Linked DNA regions of Saccharomyces cerevisiae S288C. Changing the gene in region 2 together with the main gene of any one other region gives a genetic interaction. Each region holds a gene or a part of one and is shown on either strand. Other genes may lie near its edges. The genes, in order: ERG27 and SEC53.

What was found.
Region 1: mutations in SEC53 (region 2) and ERG27 together harm fitness more than expected from each alone (negative genetic interaction), as found in Saccharomyces cerevisiae (2 studies listed by BioGRID).

The regions. Positions count from the first base shown.
Region 1 is NC_001144.5:339,603-343,415, forward strand, and holds ERG27 (3-keto-steroid reductase), read left to right. Parts: upstream 1-2,207; coding exon 2,208-3,251; downstream 3,252-3,813. Other genes in the region: lysophosphatidic acid acyltransferase ICT1, read right to left, coding at 142-1,326; MIM2 (Mim2p), read left to right, coding at 1,723-1,986; APC9 (anaphase promoting complex subunit 9), read right to left, coding at 3,368-3,813. UniProt on the Saccharomyces cerevisiae protein: 3-keto-steroid reductase; part of the third module of ergosterol biosynthesis pathway that includes the late steps of the pathway. ERG27 is a catalytic component of the C-4 demethylation complex that catalyze the reduction of the keto group on the C-3.
Region 2 is NC_001138.5:43,030-46,565, forward strand, and holds SEC53 (phosphomannomutase SEC53), read right to left. Parts: upstream 1,364-3,536; coding exon 599-1,363; downstream 1-598. Other genes in the region: FMP32 (Fmp32p), read left to right, coding at 1-409; ubiquitin-specific protease OTU1, read right to left, coding at 1,626-2,531; LAM5 (Lam5p), read right to left, coding at 2,691-3,536. UniProt on the Saccharomyces cerevisiae protein: Involved in the synthesis of the GDP-mannose and dolichol-phosphate-mannose required for a number of critical mannosyl transfer reactions such as folding and glycosylation of secretory proteins in the ER lumen.

The DNA.
Region 1 (3,813 bases), on a different chromosome or scaffold from region 2:
ACACTCTTGATGTATATGTTGCTCTATCTTGTATACGGTTAAGTAAAGTGATGTATTATGTATATGTATGTATTTATATATATATATATATATATGCGTGGTTTTCCATATTGTATTTTTCTTCTCTACTCTATATAGGCATTACTTTGACAGGAACGAGACTAAAGAAGAGGCAAAGTGCTGCGGGTTGTCCAGGAAAAGATTATGGCCAGCATCAGGGACTTCAACGTAGCTAGCCTTTGCCTTGTTTTTTAGCATTGATTCAGTAGTCAAGTAGCCCGCATATTTATCCATCCAATCGTGCTCGCCATACATGAACATGACAGGCGTTGCTGGGTTCAAAAAACGAACGTTGTTTATTATCGGATCTCTAGCGATCAGATTCCTTTCAAACAAATGGGTGAACACCTTGATTGTCTGTGGTTGCACCGTCTGGTTCTTCCCGACAAATGAGTGCAAAAGATAGTCCTTATATATCTGATCCGGAACTTTTACGTATGCGGTGGAGATGTAGTTCGAGCACAATTTGGAGCCTATGGGTCCCATCCACTTCAAAACGTTTAGCTGGTTTTCAAAGATAAACCGCGGTACGTTCAGCTTTCTTGTATAATATCGGGACGATGGGTCGGTAAACGTAAGTGGATAGGTGGTGTTGGGCTCCCATTTGTGGGTGATAGCATGTATACTGTTTTCCACACCAAGAGGAGATATGAGACACAGTTTCTCAATGGAATCAGGGTACTTGAGGGCGTATTTGAATGAAATATATCCTCCGAATGAATGGCCCACCACGTTTATTTTGCGAAGCTTGTTATCCTTCCGCCATTGCTCTATCCTGTCTACGAAGTAGCTTTCGTACTGCTCCAGGTGTGACTTGATGTCCTCTGCTGGGGGGCGCTTCTCTATCACAGGGATTACTACGTCATCTTCTATATGCTTAAACCTGAGAGACTTGATCTTCTTGGTTTTGTTCACTTGCAATGCTGGCGCCTCTGAGGCACCATTGGCTGGCAAGTCGATGGCATATAGATCTTTAATGTTGTCTGACAGGTTCTCAAACGTCCTGTAGAACGCCATCGACGAGGCAGCGTATCCATGGATTAGTACTGTAGGCGTGCACACTTTGTTCGCACGCTTATTGTGGAAATGCCACTGGTTAATCCCGCCTGGAGTCATCGTGTTATTAACGGACCCACGCACAGTGGTGCTATCCATAATTTGCTGCTGCAGGGCCTTCAGGCCCTGCACGCTAGCACACACCTTGGCGTCTGCAGTAGTGGTCTCCTTCTCAGTTTTGCTGCACCATTTGAAAGTGTTTGTCCACATTCTACTGAAGAAAACTACGCTTACGTATGTATATGTCCTGAACAATGAGAGAAAGACCTGCGAATATACTTCTACTACTCCACGTACAAAAAAGAGCACGCTGCTTTATTTATACTTTTGTGCCACAAGAATGATCAACATCAACATAAATATCAACTAGTATCTGCAACACATCTGCTCCACGGAACTAAACCCGTTGAGCAGTGCCCCGTGGAAACGTAAACTATCGCAAATTGGGATTAACAAGCCAAAAACAGCCAAGCAAGATTCACGAAACCGCGCCTCGTTTGGACCCCGAAGGCCCATTTAACGGCCGGCCGTTACAAGCAAGATCGGCAGAGCAAACCACTCCCCAGCACCACAGCACATCACTGCACGAGCAACAATAACTAGAACATGGCAGATAGCGAGGATACCTCTGTGATCCTGCAGGGCATCGACACAATCAACAGCGTGGAGGGCCTGGAAGAAGATGGTTACCTCAGCGACGAGGACACGTCACTCAGCAACGAGCTCGCAGATGCACAGCGTCAATGGGAAGAGTCGCTGCAACAGTTGAACAAGCTGCTCAACTGGGTCCTGCTGCCCCTGCTGGGCAAGTATATAGGTAGGAGAATGGCCAAGACTCTATGGAGTAGGTTCATTGAACACTTTGTATAAGTGTTTGTTGTTTATGTATCCGCATATAGCAGTTATAACAGATAAATGGCACTTTTCGCACACCCGTTGTTTTATCTCCGATAGTACGTGGGCCTTTATTTATGGTCGTTTAACGAAAGAACGGCATCTTGAATTGAGCAGGTATTTAAAAGATAGGACGAGAAACAAGCACATGATCTGTGTCGAAAAAAAGTAGCAAAGAGAAAAAGTAGGAGGATAGGATGAACAGGAAAGTAGCTATCGTAACGGGTACTAATAGTAATCTTGGTCTGAACATTGTGTTCCGTCTGATTGAAACTGAGGACACCAATGTCAGATTGACCATTGTGGTGACTTCTAGAACGCTTCCTCGAGTGCAGGAGGTGATTAACCAGATTAAAGATTTTTACAACAAATCAGGCCGTGTAGAGGATTTGGAAATAGACTTTGATTATCTGTTGGTGGACTTCACCAACATGGTGAGTGTCTTGAACGCATATTACGACATCAACAAAAAGTACAGGGCGATAAACTACCTTTTCGTGAATGCTGCGCAAGGTATCTTTGACGGTATAGATTGGATCGGAGCGGTCAAGGAGGTTTTCACCAATCCATTGGAGGCAGTGACAAATCCGACATACAAGATACAACTGGTGGGCGTCAAGTCTAAAGATGACATGGGGCTTATTTTCCAGGCCAATGTGTTTGGTCCGTACTACTTTATCAGTAAAATTCTGCCTCAATTGACCAGGGGAAAGGCTTATATTGTTTGGATTTCGAGTATTATGTCCGATCCTAAGTATCTTTCGTTGAACGATATTGAACTACTAAAGACAAATGCCTCTTATGAGGGCTCCAAGCGTTTAGTTGATTTACTGCATTTGGCCACCTACAAAGACTTGAAAAAGCTGGGCATAAATCAGTATGTAGTTCAACCGGGCATATTTACAAGCCATTCCTTCTCCGAATATTTGAATTTTTTCACCTATTTCGGCATGCTATGCTTGTTCTATTTGGCCAGGCTGTTGGGGTCTCCATGGCACAATATTGATGGTTATAAAGCTGCCAATGCCCCAGTATACGTAACTAGATTGGCCAATCCAAACTTTGAGAAACAAGACGTAAAATACGGTTCTGCTACCTCTAGGGATGGTATGCCATATATCAAGACGCAGGAAATAGACCCTACTGGAATGTCTGATGTCTTCGCTTATATACAGAAGAAGAAACTGGAATGGGACGAGAAACTGAAAGATCAAATTGTTGAAACTAGAACCCCCATTTAATATATCTCTGCGTACATATGTATATATATATATGTGTGTATATACATGTATGTCTGTATAGAAAACGCATATCAACTGATATATATACACGTGAAGCAAAAAAGGCATTGCCTCTGTCAGAGAAACGAACTATCCTCGTTGCTATAGTGTCTTCTGCACTTATCGCGTAGACTTTCTATTGGCACTCTGTCATGGCATTTAATCTTGTACACATTCTTTAATTCTTCTTGCAAAAGAAGGTACTCTTCATGCAAATGATGACTTTGGAGTGAATTGACTAATCCTGAGTCGTTCCAGAAACTTTTTAAGGCGTTCGTTTCATGATTTATTATGTCATCCAACCGTCTCATATTAGGTTTCGAATTTGTTACAAATTCTCGCCTTGATAACCTCTCCAGGTCTTCTTTGTTGCATCCAGGTACACTCTCTAACAACATTGAACCATTGCCCTCCGGATTCGCACTGTCATATTTATTAGCCTCTTCGCCGCACATGATGTCAATATCGGGTCGATAGCTGTCTATGCCGTCTAGATGGCCCACCTTATGAAACACAAGACAAT
Region 2 (3,536 bases):
TCTGGCAAAGAGAGAAAAATTGACCCAACTTAGCTATCAACAACGTGTTGATTTTGCAAAGTTAAGAGATCAGCTATTGAGTGCTGATAGAAGTGAATTTCACAATATTCAAAACGAGTACGAAAGTGTGAAAAACGATCTGGAGAAACTAAGAAACAAACTAAGGGAAGAAATTACCAAAACAAACGCCGGTTTCAAACTTGATCTGTCCTTAGAAAAAGGCAGAATTAGGGAAGAAAGTAGTCATCACGATCTGCAAATAAAAGAAATCGACACCAAAATTGAGCAAGAAGTGACCAATATGAAGATGCAGATTGATTCTGTCAAGACTCAAGTCATGCAATGGCTGATAGGTGTCTGTACAGGTACATTTGCACTTGTATTAGCATATATGAGGTTATTAACATAGTGGCGACAAGCGAGGAAAAAGGGCTAGACTTGGTACTTGAAAATTGCATTTACGTTTTGTATAACACAGTTCAGTAAGAGTACACATTCAATAACGTAGTAAGAGTATATTTATTTATATAAGAAGGATAAAAAAGAATCACCAAACGGATCACAAATGGCATAATCACGTAGCAACCTGGAAATAAAGCTATAAGTTGAATAGTTCAGTCAAAATTTTGACGGTGTCATCAGGGGATTGTACTGAATGTCCGATGGTTCTTTCATCGACAAAAATTTCGTAATCGTTACCACCGACCATAGTCTTGTCACCAAAGAAATGAATTTCCTTGAAACCATCTTTTTCAACGTGTTGCAAACAGTAGGTCTTATCCCAACCAGCGGGGAAAACGTCGAAAGAGATTTGGCCACCAATGGAGAAAGTCAAACCGTAGTCTGGGAATTCCTTTTTCAAAGCTTCAACGAACTTGGCTCTGATTTGGTGTTCCTTATCGTATCTTTCGAATTCGTTTCTTTCCTCAGTAGAAGCATTTCTACCAATTGGGGAAACGTTGATCATACCATTTCTAAATTCCAAGAAAGTACCTCTTCTCTTTGGCAAGTCAATTTCAGATAGATATCTCAAAATGAAGACGGCCAATTTATTGTATTTTTCCTCACCGAGCCAGTTGATGAAGGATTGAGAAGCTAATTCCTTACCTAATCTGTAGGCGGTCAAACCATTTTCAGAGAAAGAATAGTCAAATTCATCTAAAACGTTTGGGCCTAACTGTTCTAATTGCTTGCTTAAGTCAGAACCACCGACAAAACCAATGCAGCACTTGTTTCTCAACTTGGCCAAAGTTTTTCTAACTTCTTCAGAAACAGTTAATCTGGCTGGTGTCAAGGTACCATCAACATCGAATAAAACCAAAGTTTCTGGTTTTTCCTTGTAAGCGAATTCAGCGATACTCATTATTGGTGGTTATATTAGCAGATAGGTAAAAAAGGAGAAAGAAGTACTAAGGAAATTGTCGATTTAGTTTTCGTCAAAGATCTTATACTTTGCCAAGAAGAATAGACGATATAAACAGAAAAATAAGTGAAAAGAACACGTAAAAAACGGCACATTTTAATATATTTCAAATTTTTTTTTCATCAACGACAAAAGGAATGCATTTTATCCACTTTTCGTGTCTCATGACGAGTATACCGATAAACGCCAAATGCGTATTTTATTATCTATTTTGGCCAAAATCAACGTGTCCCGTGGATTCAGCGTGCCTAGCAACTTCTCTTTCACCCACAAAGGTCATTTGGCAAGTGTTGCATTTGATCTGGGCCTTATGAGTGTTGAAGGAATAGCCAGTTTGCTTCAAATTTGAGGCCAGTTGCAAAGCTGCTGTTAGAACATCATCTGATTCCGGCTGGTTCTTGTTGAAAACAGTTTTAAACTCGTTCATGGTCAAGGAATCATAGTGGATTCCGTTGAACAGTATCAAAATGTAGTTGTCGAACTTGTCCTCGTTGAACTTTTCGATTTTAACAGCGTCAATGTCGACTACATAAATAGCTACTGCGAGTGCATCGGATATGATACCAATCTCGATGGCTCCACCCCAAGATTCCATTTTCAAAATCCATTGCGCGTAATCTTTGTTAGGTTTGTCCAATATGGCGTCATTGAACTTGACGGGGTTGTTGAGGACCTCCTTAGAGACCATCTCCCTGAGGTCACGAACGCTATCTTGTTTGAAGATGCCATAGGCAATAGCATGGAACAGACACGAGTTGTCGTCGAGAACAGGATGTACTGATAGGACGTTTTCTCCACTGCCACCAATTGACATCTCAGTGCTCTTCAGCACCCTCTTTGGTTTGGGTTGTGGTGGTGGCAAACTGAAGCTTTCGTTACTATCAGAGGACTCTATTGTAATCTTTTCACCAGAGTTAATACCCAGCTCGTCCAGCTGGGTTTGTCCCAAAGAAGCGTCTTCCCCTTGCAAATTGATCCTTTGAGGCGGATATCCAAACCTCATCGTCTTAACATCTACATTGATATGCTCAATAAGATCATTTAGTGTTGCATCTTGCTTCAAAGTAACGACTTGGTTGATTCCTGCTCCAGTAACTTTCAGTTTCATCTTGAAAGTTTCTTCTCTTGGTTATCTTCTTCAATGTTATCTTGTTTTCAAAGGAAAAAGTTGTTATTTGCCACTGAAATCGGCTTATTTCGCCCTTTACTATTAGTTACTACCATTGCCCTATAGAAACGATATATATTGGTACGAAGAAAATACAGATCACAACTTCAGTTCTACCAATTGCAGCTTCACCAGTTGATGTAATGAGACAGCAATTGAACGTATGTAGAACAGATTAAACAATAGCAAAACGACCACAATCAAGTATAAGAACAACCATGTTTCCATGGTGACCTTGAGACCTTGCTGCTCTGCAATTGCGGGAGCCGTAACAACCGCTTCTCTTGGTTGTTCAAGGTCAACCTCTTTCAACTTATTTTTTACTTCTTTATCATCTTGCTCCTCTTCCTCCTTGCTGATAGTAATTTGGCACTCTTCGACATTGTTCTTGATGAACTTGGAAAGAATACGCTCCATTAATTGCGCAGCCTCCAATTGACCATTCTTGCATCCATTTTCAACCATACCTTTGATCCAACTGGAACCAGTCCATTCCACCCAAAAGGATACCCGTAACAGACACGTTATTTCGTCATTCCAACGGATTAGATACCTTGTCTTAGTTGAGAAACTACCACCACTGGGCACGTTCGGAGTGCGTATGCTACTGATAACCTCATAGTAAGTATCAGGATCTTTTCTCTTTATTACCTCAGCAACATAACATGTCGTGGACTTGGGCCCCGCAGGAAAGTGCAATGCTTTCTCGTATGAATACTCACGCTTCAAAGTCATGGAAGATCCGTCAATGCTCGTGAAATTTGGAATAGTGGTAATTTGTGAACCTTCTTGACCCCGTAAAAAATCTAGAAGAAATTCGTTTTGCTCTGAGTTGAACATGATCTCAAAAAGTATACCAGGTGCACAATCGAATGGTAACTCCTTGAGAACAAACTCGTTATTGGCCATAGGTTCAGCCGGAAAGCTTGTTGAATGATGATATAT